3 linked regions of the Canis lupus familiaris genome follow. The protein of the gene in region 3 purifies or fractionates together with the protein of the main gene of each other region. This does not show direct contact. Links are inferred from orthologs where the notes say so. Each region holds a gene or a part of one and is shown on either strand. Other genes may lie near its edges.

What was found.
Region 1: the proteins of SUV39H1 (region 3) and EHMT1 purify together in Homo sapiens (co-immunoprecipitation; 3 studies listed by BioGRID and IntAct, with this or other methods). This does not show direct contact. The link is inferred for Canis lupus familiaris from reciprocal best matches to the Homo sapiens genes SUV39H1 and EHMT1.
Region 2: the proteins of SUV39H1 (region 3) and CBX1 purify together in Homo sapiens (affinity purification with mass spectrometry; 3 studies listed by BioGRID and IntAct, with this or other methods). This does not show direct contact. The link is inferred for Canis lupus familiaris from reciprocal best matches to the Homo sapiens genes SUV39H1 and CBX1.

The regions. Positions count from the first base shown.
Region 1 is NC_049230.1:48,025,984-48,032,035, forward strand, and holds part of EHMT1 (histone-lysine N-methyltransferase EHMT1), read right to left. Parts: intron 1,629-6,052; coding exon 1,474-1,628; intron 540-1,473; coding exon 372-539; intron 204-371; coding exon 59-203; intron 1-58. UniProt on the Homo sapiens protein: Histone methyltransferase that specifically mono- and dimethylates 'Lys-9' of histone H3 (H3K9me1 and H3K9me2, respectively) in euchromatin.
Region 2 is NC_049230.1:24,314,718-24,320,162, forward strand, and holds the end of CBX1 (chromobox protein homolog 1), read right to left. Parts: intron 4,974-5,445; coding exon 4,796-4,973; intron 4,007-4,795; coding exon 3,912-4,006; intron 2,182-3,911; coding exon 2,028-2,181; 3' UTR 1,661-2,027; downstream 1-1,660. UniProt on the Homo sapiens protein: Component of heterochromatin. Recognizes and binds histone H3 tails methylated at 'Lys-9', leading to epigenetic repression. Interaction with lamin B receptor (LBR) can contribute to the association of the heterochromatin with the inner nuclear membrane.
Region 3 is NC_049260.1:42,095,458-42,102,226, forward strand, and holds the start of SUV39H1 (histone-lysine N-methyltransferase SUV39H1), read left to right. Parts: upstream 1-2,280; 5' UTR 2,281-2,337; coding exon 2,338-2,377; intron 2,378-3,888; exon of another isoform or gene 3,889-4,042; coding exon of another isoform or gene 4,043-4,061; intron 4,062-6,139; coding exon 6,140-6,285; intron 6,286-6,769. UniProt on the Homo sapiens protein: Histone methyltransferase that specifically trimethylates 'Lys-9' of histone H3 using monomethylated H3 'Lys-9' as substrate. Also weakly methylates histone H1 (in vitro).

The sequences.
Region 1 (6,052 bases), on a different chromosome or scaffold from region 3:
TGGGGGAAACCCCTGTGGACCCAAGCCCCAGGGGCCAGCACCCCCTACCACAGCTGACCTGCAAATGGGTGATGTTCCTGTCAATGTTCATGGGGGATGTCACGCAGTTCTGAGAAACATATTTGTAGTTGCTGGGGCACGGCTCGCTGTCCACAGCGTTGACACACGGGATGGGGATTCGCTCATAGCCTCGAGCAATGTCTCTGCCACCGGGAAGGGGGGACATTACCTTTTGCTGTGATAAGCAACACCCCCACAGGGCAGCCGCTGAGCCTGGGGCCAGGCACTGTGGCCTCAGTTGGGAGGGAAGCCTTAGTTTCCAACTCTGCAACCCCCGTCCGTCAGCCCTTGGCCCAGAGTGGTCTCCTCACCTGCTCACAGTCTTCTCCATCGGGACAGGCCTGTCGGGAGCTGCGTCTCGCAGCGCCCGACTCATCTGCAGTGCGTCCCACACCTGGGAGTTAAGGCTTGCACACTGCAGGGGCGTCTCTCCTTCTTTGTTTTTCAAGGTGACATCTGAATCCCGAGAAAGAAAGAGGCTAAAAGGAAAAATGTAAGCCAATAAAACATTCAGACCTTAATTTAAAAGATATGAGAATGAGATTTACAAAATAATTACAGTCAGTAAAAATAAAAGGAACACATCATTTATCTTGGTATTAAGCTTGCTGACCGGTGCTTCTAGAAAGACCTGCCCTGACTCACCAGGAACATACTACATCAGTCTTTTTTTTTTTTGCTCCAGAACTGTGTGTAAAGAACAAGAGATGGTACTTGAGGGCTCTTGGCTTTTCCATTCAGAGGCTCATGGACGCCCAGGGCCAGCATGAAGCAGGTAAACCACACCAGCTGGCCGTGTCCAGGGTCCTGATCCACTTGGAAGCGGGACAGCTCACCCAGCCCCACTCAAGGGCCTCACGCACAACCTTCTCTGCCGAGCTGCCACCAAGGTCCCAGTCTGAGTGGGCGTGTGGCCCACAGCAGGGCTCCCCCTCATTTCCAGGTGAGATGGAGGGACCCGAGGTCCTGTCCCCCACACTCAGAGCTTCCACTGACAGCAGAGCGAGAACCACTCTGGACCCCAGGACCCCAACCGCACCCACTCATGAGAGGATGACTCCCCAGAACCCCAACCGCACCGTCTCTCACTCATATGAGACGGGAAGGGGTTCAGAGTGGCGAGTGGTAAACACCAACATCTCTGTCCCTCCTGAACCTGTCCCAGAGGGGCCTGTCCCCTCCCCTCTGATGAGAGGTGCTGGGTGAGACTCATCTCCACACTCACCTATGTATTTGGGGATTCTTAACAACCATCCTCCCTGAACCAGAAATAACCAGACTGACCTCACATGTGGAATGGGACCCTTACACCTCTGGCTGTTTGTGGAAGAAGCTTCCCTGGGAGGACCTGGGGCACCAGGGCGCCCCCACCCTAGGAGCCTGGCAGGGGCTGCATGCAGCAGAGCCACTCACAGGACACAGGCATAGCGGTCCTCCCTGGCTGCAATGTGCAGGGGCGAGTCTCCATGGACGTTCACGGCGTGGAGGTCACACCTGGCAGCCAGCAGGATCTCGGCTATGTCCACGCAGCCCGAGAACGCAGCCCAGTGCAGGCAGATGTTCTCCTCCTGCACAGACAGACGGCACAGCACACCAAGGGGAGAGCAAAGACCCATCTGAGTGCTGAGGGAGCTTCCTTTTTTGTTTTGTTTTCATCATAAAAGTAACATAATCACAGTACTATTTTAAAAATAGAATAAAAAATCATCTGAAATTAGACCAACCTAAGCACACTATTAACGTAACATCTGGGAGTAAGTTATCTACTTTTTAAAAATATTTTATTTATTTATCATGAGAAAGAGAGAGAGAGAGAGAGAGAGAGAGAGAGGCAGAGACACAGGCAGAGAGAGAACCAGGCTCCATGTAGGGAGCCCGATGTGGGACTCTATCACAGGTCTCCAGGATCAGGCCCTGGGCTGAAGGTGGCACTAAACCGCTGAGCCACCCAGGCTGCCCCAAGTTATCTACTTTTTAAAATTATATTCACTCTGTAACAAAGTACAATTGCAAAACAGGACACTTGTGTAAGATTTTTAAAAGATAAAATGTAGACAAATTTGATCACACTAAAATTTTACTTCATAAAAACCCCTGTAAAATAAAACTTTTATTTATTTTTTTAAAGATTTATTTATTTGAGAGAGAGCCCGAGCAGGGGGAGGGACAGAGGAAGAAGCAGGCTCTCTGATGAGCTGGAAGCCCTATGTGGGGCTCGATTCCAGGACCCGAGATCAAGACCTGAGCTGAATCCAGACGCTTAAGCTTGTGAGCCACCCAGGTGCCCCCCTCCCTTTTTAAAAAGGATTGATTGATTGATTTGAGAGAGGAGACAGTAGGAGTAGGGAAATCATTTTAAATCAAAGATTAGAAAAAAACCATTTGTGCTGTGTATAAACTACACTGTAATTTTGAAAACAAATACACAAAAGGTATAAAAATGTAAAACTTGTGTGACCGATGAGGAACACACGTTAAGTATAGGGAACATGTGGCCTTGCCAGGTGGGAAATGAGCACAAAGTAGCCATGACATAGCCGTGAAGCAACCACCCTGGGGACAAATATGAAAGCTGCTCTGACCCCACCCCTGCAGCGCAGGCCACTAGCTCATGGTCATGACCTTCAGGTGGTTCCCGTCTTCCTGTGGACTCAGGCACTGAATACTTTAGCCCTTTCTTTTCCTGACATGCTCTCAGGGCTTAAATGCTCTCGAGGCTTAAGCGCTTAGAGGTGCAAATTTGTGGCCCTGGAAGCACTTCCTGCTCTCCTGGCAGAGAGGGTGCTGAAGTCCCAGTACCTCACAGGAGCCACCACTGAAATCAAGCCTGGCTGCCCACTCTGGCCCCCCCACCAGCAGAGCCCCATGCACTGCGTGCCCAGCTGCGCCCACATCAGTCCCCATGGAACCCATATGCCGGCTATGTGACTCTGAATGCCTCAATCCTGCCCCCTTCCCACCCACAGAACCCCCTGGAACGCTCCAGTGATTGAGGACAATCGGAGTGCATCCAATGCTTGCGGCCCAATGAACTTGAGGAAAGAGATAAGTCAAACCATGTGGTCCTGTCTGTTCACAAACAGTGTCTAGCCCCTAGCACAGGCTTCACATGGGCTCCTGTCAGCCTCAGTATTTTCTGAAAAGCATGGATCTGCCTGGAGCTTCCTTTACTGGACGCTGCACTGGGATGCCTGCTATCCCTCTCATCTTTCCATCTTCCATACATTTGCAAGCTCCAGAACAAAAGGTGGTTTCCTGAGGGGCCTCTTTTTTCATTCCTTCATCAGAAGGACCTATTATATTATAACCAGAATCACATGCTAAGACTGTCTGTGTCCACCTAGGCTCCTCCTAGCAGAGGAATGCAGTCCCAGACTAGCTGACATCTGCCTGCTGGGTTACAAAAGGCCTGACCCACACATCTGAAGTGACAGACAGCACTTTGGTTCTAGCAGAGACCAGGCCAGAGGGACCATCTGGATTTACCCTCCTGCCTGAAAGAGCCAAATAGTCAAAATATGTGAAATAGGGGAGCCTGAGGGGCTCAATCGGTGAAGCATCTGCCCTTGGCTCAGGTCATGATCTCCGAGTCCTGGGATGGAGCTCTGCGTCGGGCTCCCTGCTCAGTGGAGAGTCTGTTTCTCCCTTTTCCTTTGCCCTTCCCCCTGCTTATGCTCTCTGTCAAGTAAATAAAATCTGCCCCCTCCAAAAAAAAATGTGTGAAACAATGGTTTTCAAGACACTGGACACCAGGCAATGAAGGGCTACATCCCTGAAAGTAGAAACAAATACGGCCTGGGTCTGTCCACTCACTGTCCTGAGATCCAGCCTCAGCACAGGGAGAGACCAGAAGTTCAAAGGTAGGAAGTGAGAGCCAGTGGCTAAGGCAGCTGGGGTTCACAAAACAGGGGTAAGGCTGGGAAGAGGCCTCTGGAGATCAGACATTCCCATCCTGGACCTCCAAGACACACCTCCAAAGCTGAAGCATAAAGAGCTGAGACCTGCTTGAGCTCACCTAACAAACCTAGAAAGCAAAACCCAAAACAGACTATTTCCAAGCCACTTTGCTGCACCCAGAACAAAGCTTAAGACTTTTCCAGGAAAATACAGAAATTCACAGCTCGGTAAAACCAAAATGTCTGGCACCAACATAAGGTTGCAAACAAAACTTCCGGAGCTGACAAGCACGATGTCTGACAGAAACACACTGGATGAGACTAACACCGTTACAGGCTATAAAGAAAAAAATTACTGAGCTTGAAGACACAGCAAAATTGTTATTAAGACCAGCAAAGCAGCTGTAAAACCAGCTAAATTGTGATCCAGAGTGAAAAACATGATTGAGAAAAATGAAAAGAGGGATCCCTGGGTGGCGCAGCGGTTTGGCGCCTGCCTTTGGCCTAGGGCGCGATCCTGGAGACCCAGGATCGATTCCCACGTCGGGCTCCCGGTGCATGGAGCCTGCTTCACACTGCCTGTGTCTCTGCCTCTCTTTCTCTCTCTGTGACTATCATAAATAAATAAATAAAAAAAAAAAAAGAAAGAAAAATGAAAAGAGCATCACTGAGCTGGGAACACCTTCCAGCCACCTGAAAATTACAGAGCGAGTGGCCCCTGTGAAGGGGGCCAGGCAGAAACACTCTGGGGAGGAATGAGGGCAGGGGTCTGTACCTGACATCCTAACCCTAACATCACTGACTCACGCTTCACAAGCCGTGACCTCACACGTGCGACACATGCGCGAGTGACACAAGGTGCATCATAATTCAACTGTTAAAATCTAGTGACAAAAAGAAAATCCTAAAATTGCCAAAAAAAAGCAGATGCACTGTATCTAGAAATAAGGACAAGGTGCCACCGAGAATTCCCTGTGGGAAACACGTCAGTGAGGACAACAGGGAGGCTGTGTGCATGAAGTACTGAAAGAAGCTGTTGACCAAAGTGCACACCCAGCAAAATACCTCCCAAAAAAAGTGAAGGCAAGATAAGGAATCTGCAGGCACTCATCAGGGGCAGTCCAGCGCCCCAGGACGCAACAAACAAGTCTGATGTGTAGAAGAAAAGTGACCCTGCACTGAAGGACCTAAGTAAGTGAATAAGGAGCAAAGAAAGTGGTGGCAGCAGGTGCTGAGACTTGAGACTTTCCTCACTACAGTGTTTCCAAAAGATCACGACAGTGGAAACGATGTGACAACGTATTGTGGTATCCCCACAACTCAGAGCAACAGCATGAGGCCTGGGCAAGCACACAGCACTCTGTCCTCACTGAGAGCGCAAGCACAGGCACAGGGGCAGATGCATGTGGGCCATGGCACAGCGGACAGAGCCGCACACATGTGCACAAAGGGGCAGAGTCAGTTCTGTGGAGAAGGGACGGCTTTTAGACAGATGGGCTGGAATGTCTAGACATCCTCATGCAAAACAATCACTATAAGAAAACACAGGAGAATGTCTTTGGGATCTTGGGTCAGGCAATGATTTCTTAAAGACAACACCAAACACATGATCCACAGGTAGAAAATAACTAATAAACTGGACTTTTTCAGTATTAAAAAGCATCTGCTTCTCAAAAACAATTGTTAGGGCTAGTAAAACATCTGATATAGAGAACTTGCATACAGAAAATACAGCAACTTTCAAAATGAAGAATAAGAAAAAATGATCTGATAAAAATGAGCAAAAGATCTGAACAGATACACACACACACACACCGGAAACCGCCCGGCCCACAAAGAACACAAAGACTGGCCAGAGTAAGTGCTGGGGAGGGTGTGAAGGAGCCGCCCTCAGATATGACTCTTAGGCACAGCCACTCTGGAAGCTGTGCAGCCTCCTTAGGTGACCCAGGTTTCATGGGAGAGAAATGACAACATGTGCCCACGTGAAGACACATGCCTGAGTGTCCACAGCAGCCGTGGGCGAGAGCCAGGACCCAGAAAAGCCAAAATCCACGACCAGGTGAAGGACAAATGAGCAATAGTGACTCCCAGGC
Region 2 (5,445 bases), on a different chromosome or scaffold from region 3:
ATAAATAAAATCTTAAAAAAAAAAAATTAAAAAAAAAATCAAACCGTCCAACTGTAGAAGTTGTTTCCTTATAAGCTGAACCAAAAGGTAATCAAAGGCAGGGAGGGTTTTTGGTAATACTTAATCAAGACAGAAATCAAGGATTATAAATCTATAGTTTTATTAAGACAAAACTGACAAATGTGGTATGAAGTTTACATTTAAACAAAGTTTTCACAGAAACCTAACACATGCCTAAAAAGATTTTACAATGGAGTTCTAGAATGCAGGTCTAGACGATGTCAAGAACTGATGGATCTCATGATTCAAGACAGCATTTTGGGTATTAGTTCTTAGGATTAAAAAATTTTTTTGTTTTGTTTTGTGTTTTAAAGTGAACCACTGCCCCAGTATGAAAGTTTAATCTTCTCCTGAGACCAGGGCTTTTGAAGTCATTCAACTCTTGAAGTGATTCAATGAACTTGTGCTGTCAGTGATTGAACCCTGCCACCAATGATTTCAGGGTTCAAAGTTCAAATAATAGGCTCCAAGAGTTTTCCACCCTAAGAGCATGGGCCCTTGTCTTTCTCTACTCTCCCACCTTCTATACCACCCTCTTCTCCTCCCCAAATACCTCAGCCAGTGGCTTGGATGGATAAGCTGATGTTTAAAACTTCATAGTTGGAAAAGAAAGGGTCTTCTTACCAATTTCAAGAATTAGCACCTCTATGACAGAACAATCTGCCTATGTATACGCTCCAATAAGACTTTCCCTCTTCAACCAGTTTCCATCCCCAAAATGGCAGCTTTGGTAACTTATTAACTGGCTTAGTCCTTTGTTGGGAATAGCATTAAGCTCAGGCAGGGAACACCTTGGCTTTAAGTTTCAGGCATTCACAGCTTTTAAACAGTCTCTCACAGTCCTCATTTAGGTTGCCAATGACATTTTTTGAAAAGATAAAATATTCTGGACACAGAACCAAATCACCACAAGTTTGTTCTTTCCATTGTTTCACCATTTTCCCAATCAGGCCCCAAATTTTAACAAAAATGATCCTACCCATCTCCGTTCCTTCCCACCCCCAACCCTCCCACCCCCAAATGATACACCAGTAATAGCCAAAAACTACACACATGCTACGCTGTAAAAATGCAGAGTTAACACTATTGGGAAGAAGGCTGTGGGTTGTGGAGATGCACTTTGAAGATCTACAGTATCTTTTGCTCTCCCACACACCCATTCTGCAAGTTCTGTCCTTCATGGAAGGCCCTTTGCCTTTCTCAGCAAAGTACAGAATGGGTGGCCTTGCAATACTTCTCTTCCTTCCCCTCCACTGGGATGGGTGTGCAAACTACACAGCATGGAAAGGCTTTAAAGCACTTGGGCTGCTGTAGGGCACAGAAACGATACTGGCTCTTCAAAGGACATCTTCTCAAGCCACCTCTACGGTGTCAAGACGAGTAGAACTCCTTCCCTCCCCACTTGAAACCCACAGTCAGATGTGACAGGGGCAGGTACTCAGGACAGTTAATTCTTGTCATCTTTTTTGTCATCATCCTCCGAGGGGTAAGAATGCCACGTCAGCCTTTCCTCATAGAAGGATATGACCACCTGTGGGCACTTGACATTGGCTTCCTTGGCAGGGACTAGGTCAGCCTCATCAGAATTTTTCCTGCAGAACAAAGCAGAGAGACCCTGAGACCAGGTGCTAGTGGTCTCCTAACCTGGATTACACAAGGGATAGGGCGATAACATGGCCTACACAGCATTTAGTCAAGTGACATCCTCAGAGGTCTTCTGTTGAAAATCCTCTCTGGTATCTTTGTTAAGCTCAGTCACTTAACTCAATCTATCACATGTGAACCTCTGGCAAGGCCAGGAAAAAAACAAAAACAAAAACAAAAACAAACATGACTCTCAGATTCTTGGAGGGCAGAAGAAAGGCTACCATACTCATCCAAAAGCCAAGCTCCCAAGAGCCCATGGAGAGATCTTGGCTTTGTAGTAGAATTTTGGATAGTAATTGATTTTATACCAATAGTAAGATTTAATACCAATAATAAGATTTAATACCATTGGCTCTAGCCAATGCAGTTGGACACATTCTCATTGACTCATAATTACACTGTTTAACATTACCAAATGCCATGCTCACACAGATATTCCACAACTCCCAGGTGCTTTGAAATGGTGCTTCAACACTGGGAAGTAGAAAATAAGGGACTGTTACATAATTCTCTATATTTTCCTGAATTTTAAAAAATGGTCTCAAAATTTGAAAATCACATACATATTACAAAGGACTTAGGAGTAAGGTCACTAGGAATCTCCTAGATGAGAGTAGCAGCATTAAGGCAGGTAGCAGTTATATGATGGGATCCAATGAGGCACCACCCAAAACTTCTAGAACTCAGAAACAGATAAACCAAAGCCAGAGAGCACAAGGAACCAGGGTTGACTAAACTGGTAAGGTATGTTTCTGAACAACAGACTGAAAAGAATGGGAGGGAAAAGGAGTCTAACAATATGGGAGCCTGAAGGAGGCTGCCCTTGTTGACAATTCAAACAATACTTTGAGGGAAGTTCAGTTATTTCATAACAAAGGAATATTTTCTATTTTGGTAATGGACAACTATTTCAACTCTTCCAGAAAATCATCTTAAAATGAACTAGGTTTTTCTAATCAACATCCAATCTTTTTATCTTAACTTGTAGAATTACATTCAGGTATAATCTTTAAAAATAGCAGTAATTCAACCAAAGGAGTGCAATCTTAAACAATATGGAGATAGTATAGTAACTCAGACTGATCACATGCAGACAGTGAAAATATATTCTAGTTGGATTGTAGCTCCTGGTATCAATCTCCCCCCACCACCCCAGATGCACACCTTAAAAATGAAAAATGAACTTTTCTCCTATAGGCTAGCAGTAAAGCAGCTAAAATGTCAGATTCAGTGAACATAGGAAACACAAAATAAGAAAACAAGAGTTTCACCTAATTGTGACATAAGCTTTCAGCAGTGTCAAAGTCAGGCCTCTCTGACCACCTTCTAAGCAAGAGGAATTAGTATAGACAGGAATTTAAGAGAAGATTCTAGACTGACAAAAGGACAAAATCCTTAAAATTCTGCCTTAACTGGTAAAGGCTTAGAATCATTCCCTCCTAATTTATATTTTAAGGACAATATTTGAGACCTACCTGGGGGGGGAAAAAAGCACAAACATTTTTCAACCAGCAAGAAAAAGAAAAGAAAGCCTTCCTTTTGGCAGAGAATAGGGATATTTTAGGGAATCTGGGGTTAATTAAAGTTCTTATCATTCTCAAGACAACTGTTTTCCTTAAGCTGTTTTGTGGAGTATTACTACCATTGGTATTCATACTTCTAATGGAAAAAAATAGCCTATTACTCTATGCTCTCAGTACAGTAAAGGTGACTTGCTGACCCCTACTGGCTGATCCTGGAATTACAGAATCTGCACAAATTGGAAAGGATCTAACAATCAAAGACAAAGGAAGAGCTACAGAAATTCTTAAATAACCCTGAGAAGTTAACAGAACTTCTGATCCTGGGGCCAGCCCAATTTTTATTAAGGAGGTTGTACAAGGGGAAGGTGGTTCAATCACATTTCATTCCCAACCCCTTCATTCACAGAAGTGAAATGTGATCCTTCCCTGTACCTTCTCCATCCTGGATTTTCTCCCACCTCCTAATAAATGGGGCAAAGATCTGAGAATCCTAAGGGCCCCTACCTGTAACTCATGAGTCCAGGCTGGCAGTCAGGCCGAGGGTCACTATCGAAGGACTATGCCATCTTAAAGATTTCACACTTGGGCGACTGGAATTTCGAAGATCCAGCTCTTTTCCTCTGGCATGGAACAGATGGGGAGAAGAAAAAAACCACCACACAGGGCCACCAGCAGACTCACCATTTCATCAGGAACATGAGTTCTCCACTGGAGTCTGTAGCTCCAATAATCCGCTCTGGTTCCAAACCCCGGGCAAAGCCTCGTGGCTTTTCTGACTGTAAAAATCAGATGGATGCAACAAATTTAATTATGTGGGACTGTTATCCAGACTAGAGTCACTCCTGCTCCTCTGATTAATATAATCACATTCTTGTCAGTATTTCATCAATACCTTGGCTCCAAGTCACAGGCCTTTATGCATCCTTCTGAGTGATTCTTCCATCAAGGTCTTGAGGTTTCCCCATATGTAAAAAGGGACATACATCTCAAGCAAAATAAATTTTCACAACAGTTTCTTCACCCTCAGAAGATAACTTACTTTAAGGTACTGAATAAATATAGAGCTAACACCTGTAATGATTACAACACTGAAAACTATCTATAGGAATGAATTTATTTGCACTCATTATTATTCTTGAAACTTGGATAAAGTAGGGCAGCCCGAGTGGCTCGGCAGTTTAGCGCCTGCCTTCGGCCCGGGGTGTGATCCTGGAGGCCCAGGATCGAGTCCCACATCAGGCTCCCTGCATGGATCCTGCTTCTCCCTCTGCCTGTGTCTCTGCCTCTCTCTCTCTGTGTGTCCCTCATGAATAAATAAATAAAATCTTAAAAAAAAAAAAAAAAAAAAAGGAAAGAAACTTGGATAAAGTATAGATTACATGGCTTCAGCAAAGTGAACCCCCAAACACTTTATAAGCATTAGCCTAAGATTCCAGAGGAAGGAGAGATGGGTGCTGAGGCCCAAGAAGCAGCAGAATAAAACTCCTTAAATTTAAAAATTAAAAGGCTTTTCAGCTTTGACAGCAGTAGGAATTCTGGGCTAGTAAAACTTGTTCTCCCCTTACCTCTTCTTTCTTCTTCTTTGGTTTGCTCTCTTCTCCCTTATCTTCAGAATCAGAGTCAGCTTTGCGTTTGCCTCCCTCTGATTTATCTGTCTCATGTGCTGTTTTCTGTGACTGTAGAAACTCGGCAATGAGATCAGGGCAATCCAGGTTCTCTTCTGGCTCCCACGTGTTATCCTCACTGAAACCAGAGGGCACAGTGAGTCACACTTTCCACTCAAAAGTTAGCACACTCATACTAAGGAGATGCACAGGATGACGAGAGCTGGTGTCCTTGGAAAAGAGGAGTTAATGATAATGAGTATCCAGATTTTGTCCAAGACCAAGAACCTTGGTAACACTGAGATTTCTTGGGGCAGGGGGGTTGGCATCAGACTTTTTAATGTAAATTAAAAGCTTAGAAACTTGCCTTCTTCAAAGGAAAATTACTTTCTTTGCAAACTTGAATCAGTCTAAAGCTGCACATAAAACTGCTTCTCATAAATCACTGTCTGGCATTGTAGCACTTTGTACATGTGGACAGTTTTCCTCATTAGACTCTAAGCCATGAAGGCCAGGCCTGGGTCATACTACCCATCAGAGCACCCTAGGCCTTGCGCATTACTAGACTCCTGAGAAATAGTCAGTGACTAAATAGATAGATTTACCCAAGT
Region 3 (6,769 bases):
AAAATTTGGTTCTGCCTAGTTCTCAGAGCAAACTAAGTCCTGACCAATGGCAACCAAAGAAGCAAAGACTTAGTAATAAGATAGATCTGCTCTAGAACCTGGGAAAGACCCCCCACCTCTGAGCCTGTTTCTTCATTTATACAATGGGCCAGATAACAGTATGTAACTGATTCCCCCCTCCTCTTCTAGGAAATTACTCACCAAAAAAAAGGAGCAACTCAAAACTGTCCCTGGTGTTTAAAGCTATTTCCAGGGGGAGTGATAGACGCTCTTGCACATCAGAGCCTTGGAAGAGGTATCTCCTCCTTCTCATTTCTGAAATCTGGTGGATAAGGAGATCTCAGGTATCCTAGCTTTAGGGGAGGAAGAGGAGAGTGGGGGAGAAAGAGAACAGTAAGGAGGAATCTGGAGAGATCAGGCTTCATTCATCTGCAAGACCAGTGGATGAATTTCTGAAACATCAGAGGTGCAGGCTGTGGGCTAGGGGAAGGAGCAAAGGAGAGCCACGGTGAGGGTGGAGGTGTGGGAAGTGGGAGCTGACTTTGCTCCTTAAGAACTGCCCTGAAGCCACAGAAGCTGAAGAAGGAGGGAGTCTCAAGTTCCTTTTAATTCTTTCATGGTTCTTCACCTTCCACTCTACTCCCCACCCCACCTCAGCCAGGTCACCAGGGGCCAGCTGAGTCTAGGAAGGGCCTGTCAGCATCACTCACCTGCCTCCCCACTCCCTGCTAGGAAACTCTAGAAATCCAGTGTGCTGGGACCCCCTCAGCAGGCTTTGTCATGGAGAAGACCTTGTATCATACAACCCCTGAATCCTCAGGAGCACTGCCTACGGCAGGCATGGGCTTGGCAAACCAGTACTGACCATGGGCAAGTTGCTTGACCCTTCTGGGCCTCAGTTTTCCCCATCTTTAATTTGAGACAAAAAAAATGCATACTTTGCAAGGTTGCAGAATTAAAGTGTCTGCAAAGTTCCTGGCTCCTTAAGGTGACTACAAACATTAGATGCCACTGCTGCTATTAATCTTCCTACTACTGGTTGATCCTGAGTCACCACTGATCATAAAATGCACCATTATTGTATGTATCACCAAGGAAGACCAAAAAAGTACTGCGAATTAAGTTATGACTCACCAGTGCTTGGGAGATGCAGCCAGAATTCAGAGATGTTCCAGAATTAAGTGTTCCTGGATCTCTGGCTGGAGATGTTTCTTAACCTTTGTTCTGGTCCCACAGTTATGTTTGCTTGTGAAAACGCATGACACTGATCACCCATGGCCTGTGACCTCTCCTAAATGTGTGGTACACTCAAAGATGGGGTTTGCATTGAAAACAGGTCAAACCTATACAGCTTGGAATGGAGAAGACCTTATTTGGCCCCAGCACTGGGCAAGGCAATATACACAGTTGGCACTAAAGTAGTGCTGAATGAACAGACAAATGGCTGGGATTGGGACACAGTAATAATAGGGTGGCCTCTTCCTTTTGAGGTCTCCTGGACAGATGCTAGTCCAGAAAGATTGATTTCCAGATGAGTGGGAGATACCCACCCCAAAGCCACTCATCTGACATTTTCAGATGAAGAAACTGCCTAAGGTCACACAATTTAGCAAATGCTACCATTTGAATCCAGGTAGCTAGGCTCCAAGATCCATGCCTCTACTCATTACATTATATATACTGTTTGGGGAGGACCACGGTGTGAAAATTAAGAAAGGGAAACCTTACTTAAATGGACTCAGGATGTTAGAAGGGGAGGCTGGTAGAGGAAGCCTACAGCACAATGTCTACTGCAAAAAGTTTCAGCTACACACCCAACAGAAGTATCTCAACAGGAAAGAATGGTCAATTATAGGCCCCCAACAAAGGAAAGATGTACATCCTATCTCCTTTAAGAAACTGACTACTCCTGCAACTCAGCCAATGAGAAACCATCATCAGTATGAACTCTTGCTGTTGTCCAATAGATTTTTGTTCCAAACCCCTCCCAACCTCCTCCTTCTCCATAACATAATGTTCTCCTTTGTTTATTGGACTTGCATATGGTTTTGCCATAACTTGCTTGTTCTGCGTTGCAATTCTCAGCTATTCCTGAATAAACTCATCTTTTGCTGGTAACATAACTGGCAGTTTTATCTTTCAAATTGGCAAAGGGATGTTTGCCCAACACCCACATGCTCCTACATCACCCCCTCCAGATTCAGTCGGGCCTTAAGCCATTCTTATGGGTTGGACTAGGCTCCTGGGAATAGGAGGGTTTTACCTTTTGGGGGAGACTGGGAGCACGCAAGGACCAGCATCTGACTGTGTTCTAGAAGGAATAAGGGAAGGAAGAGGATGCGTGGTGGGACGTATGCTGCTGATTGTTCCAGTCATGGTAAGCAGGAGCTGATGGAACTTCAGACTGACCGTCTATTTCTCCAACAAGCTCAGAGCTAGACTGGCAGGTGGACAGAACAACCATCTGCTTAACTGTAATCATTTGGTTGACCACATAACTCATGTGCCAACAGGGAAAGGGGCGCTTTGAGGAACTGACAGTGCAGTTGCCTGATGGTAGGAGGTACTGAATATCTAACTAAATTATGCCCACCTGGGACTGGCTGGGACTGGTGGTCTGATAGTGTAGAAGACAGGCAGCCTCCCAAGGGACTGACAAGCTGGCTGACTGGTGGTGTGTGCTGTTGCTGCTGCCTGGGCGGCGGGATGTTGTGCGTGGCTGACTATTGCTAGGAGTCACATCTGGCCTGAGGGAGTGTCTGGATGTTACACTGTCTGATGCAGTGTAAAGGAGGGCTACCCTGAAGGAATTTCGGGCTGACTGAGGGACAGATCTGTGACTGCCTGATAGGCAACTGTATCTGGTGAGTGACTGTCCACCCTGACCACATAGACCATGTGTGGTCAGTCAGATGCTGAGAATGGCTGCCTGGCGACTGACAAAACGATGAAGAGCAGTGAACGACTCACAGGCCATCTGACCAGTTGAAATACCAGTGTAGCTGCCTGACTGGATGGCTGTATCAGGTTGGAATCACAGCCGCCTGGAGGGAGCCCCACGGAGACTGACCAAATGACTGACCAATGGTGGGCATACCTCGCTGAGAAGTGACAGACTGCTGACCCACTGTCAGGTGGCATGGAGGCTTTAGTTGCTGTGACTATTTCTTTGAGGGAATAATTGCCTGATCATGGCGTGAATGAGGAGTAACCTGAGGGAATTAAATATTGACCAACACTGGACAGTGTGACTGCCTGAGAGGGCGACATCAGATGACAATGACAGCCTGTCCTCACCTAATCACGGCCCACCTGAGCCACGGCTGGTGGCTGTGAGAGGCTTTCCCAAGGGGGATTCAGGGCTGCCCCCAGAGCAAGAGATGGAGAGACCGGCTGCTTGACTGTGTGAAAAAGGGGCAGCCAGAGGGAATGATAGGCCGGCTAACAGTGTAGTTGTTAGGAATGCGTGTCTGCCTTAAGACTCGCAGCTGGCCACGAACGGATGCTGCCGTTGACTGACAGACCCTGTGAATGGGGGTGGGGGACCGGGGTCTGACTAAACAGTTGTCTGTGGTGATGGACCCATTGTCTGATTTAATTCTGGGGACTGGCTGAGCAGCTGTACGTGGTGACAGTCCATCTTGGGAGTCACGGCCAGCTTGGGGTTAAAATGTGGTGACGACCGAGTGACGGTGGTAATTGGGGGTCTGACAGGACGGAGAATCCCCCGTGCGGCCGGCTGACAACGTGATTGGCTGACAGCGTGACAGACAGACCAGCGTACGGGTAGGGCCTCCGGCAACCTCAGTTGCCGCCGCTGCGGCTGCCGCCCAGACGCACTCTGGGAAAGCGCTGGCGAGCACCCGCCTTCGGGACCGAGCGGGGTAGCGGGGAGGGGTCCGGTCACGGCTCGCCGGTTGGTCCGCGCGGGCTATGCTCGCGGCGCCGTGCGGCCAATAGGCTGCGCGTTCTCGGCCACGCCCGCGCGAGCTCTCTTCTCGCGAGGCCGGTTAGGCCCGAATGTCGTTAGCCGTGGGGAAAGATGGCGGAAAATTTAAAAGGTGAAGCAGTGGCGGTAGCGGCGCCGGCCTGCTGGCCGGGCCGGGTGGGCTAGAGGGGTGGCGTCGCGGGCTTGGGGCCCCGGCGTCTGAGGCCACGGAGCCAGGAGCCGGAAGCTTGGCGCGGAAAGGATGGGGCTCTTGGAACCCGGGCCTGGCGCGCGGGGCTGGGCGGGGCTGAGGGGAGGGGGCGCGTGCCTCCGAACGCGGCGGGCGCGGGGCTAAGTGGGGACGCGGCAGGGGGGCGCGCGCCTCTGATCGCGACCAGTCGGCGCGCGCACGCGCGGGGGCTTGTCGGGGAGGCCGCACCCGCGCGCGGGAAAATCGGCCGCCAGTGACCGTTACCCGGTTGGTGTCCACGCGAGACGCCGGAAGGGGAGGGAAGGGAAGGGGACGGACCTCCTTTTCAGAGTGGGGGACAGAGGACTCTTCATGGTGAGGGTATCTCCTTTCCGCGTGATGGGGAAAGGGTTTGCTGTAGAGAAGACTCCCCAGGGAAGAGGGGAAAGGGGGCTTCTCTGATAGGAGAGCTGGACTCCCTCGTGTGTAGGGAAAGAGGGGTGACTTTTCCAGTATGTTGGGGAGGGTGGGCTCCTCTGGGTGAGGATAGCTGCGGGGAGGATGGCCTCCACAGTGTGAGGGGGACCTCTGAGAGGTAGGAATCCACCTGTGGCCAGTGCGGAGCCAGCAGCTGGAGAGGTTAGTTTGGGACCACTTTAGTGGGGTTTCAAATGCAAGTTAAGGGGCTTGAAAGGGAGAGGCATCATAGGGAGAGGAAAGCGTGGGCACAGGCTGAGTCTCCACTAGGCCTGCCTCAGTGGAGGGGGGGTTGTGCACACGAAATAATTTTGCAATGCTCTTGTACGTTTTCAGGTTGACGTCTGCAGTATTTCATTAGGAGTTCAAATGTCTGATTTTTTTAACGGGAGGTAGACGATATTAAAAATAGGATGAGTACTGACTGCATTTGGAATTAGTGTTCAATGGAATGATTTGATAAAATGGCTTTAAAGCACATTGTGCCTTGAATCAGAAGTCTTTTTCTTTCCTTTAAATCGGCGTCTTGAAAATTTCTGATAGCACCAGAAACATTCCAGGTATATTTAAAAGAATTGTCAATAACCTATACTGTTTTGCTGGTTCCTGAATTCAGAGCGTACTCCTTTGGGTGAGCTTTACCCTTCACAGAAATGTAGATGAGACGGCAAGCTAAAATGCGGTGTGAAAAAATATACCTTGTAGGTTTAAGGCACCCAGGCTAATCATTCAAGGAAGCTTCCTGAAATCTAATACCATTCCACAGTCTCTCATTCATAATTTTGAAATCTAAAAAGCTCTGAAAACTTAAGTTTGGCGCAATTTAGGGGCAAAACTAGACTATAAAGTGGGACTATCTTGCCTCTTTATTTCTCCTATTTAATATAGAAAATTCAGATTTTTTTGCTGCAGAATTACTAATGTGTTTGATTATGGCTTGATGCCCCTGACCACATAGCGGGTGTTAGGTAGTGCATGGGGTATACCTCGGACTACACTTGTAAAAAAAAAAAAAAAATCTGAATTCCTAAACACAAGTAAAGTAGCCCCAGGAGTTTCAGATAAGGGATTCCAGACCTGTCTTTCCAGTTAAGCCTTTGTTTGGGGCCTACAGGTTGTAATCCCAGCCCCATCAGTTCCCTCAGGGCAATGCACCCTACTGAGATGGGGGTTGTTCTCTTTATTTTGCAAAGTGGGGAGAGGGATGATTAGGTCCTGAACCCAACTGCAGGTTTGCAGGCAGTTTTAGGAATAGTATGGAGGGGAAGCTCTAGGAATAGATTCCTTTAGGACAATTCCTGCAGCAGATCTCACTTTGAGGGCTACAGCTGGGGTGGGGGGGATGGCCTTGGAATGAGCACTGGGGCTGAAGGAAGTGGCACATTTTTTGATGTAGAAGGGTCTCAGCATGGAGAAAGCCTGTGGATTAAATCTCACTGACTCTGAGGCAGTTCTTTGGAAGTCCCAGAAAGGATTTGGGGTCCCCTTTGATCGGTGCCTTCAGCAGGATACCCAGTAAGTTCTTTCTGGCCTCCTTGTTCTAGGCTGCAGTGTGTGTTGCAAGTCGTCTTGGAATCAGCTACAGGACCTGTGCCGTCTGGCCAAGCTCTCCTGCCCTGCCCTCGGCATCTCCAAGAGGAATCTCTATGACTTTGAAGTCGAGTACCTGTGTGATTACAAGAAGATACGCGTGAGTCTGGGGTGCCCATGGCCAGGGCAGGGGTGTCTCAAGGAAGCTGGCTTACTTCCCTCTTCCTCCACCCCCACTTCCTGCATCTGTTTCCAAAGGGAATGTTCTCTGATCTTAAAAAATTAGGTTTAGTAGGACTTCTTATCATCCTCATTGTGCAGGTGAGGAAATTAAGTGGCTTTCTCAGAGGGGCAGGAGCCAGAATGAATCCCCAAATAAGTCTTTCTTTCCACCTCCATAGGAATACAAACCAAGTGCAAAGATTGAGATGTTGAGTGCAGAAATGGAGATGTTGATAGCTAGTGATTATTGAAGGACATTCAGTATGCTGGCACTTCCTCTCAGAAACCCATTTAATCCCCCAAACAGCTCTGTGGGGAACTGTTGCCATTGCCAGAGGAGGCAATGGCAGGATAAAGAGAACAGATTGGAGCCAGTATGGTTGGGTTCAAATTTTGGCCCTATAGCCCTGGGATACTTACCC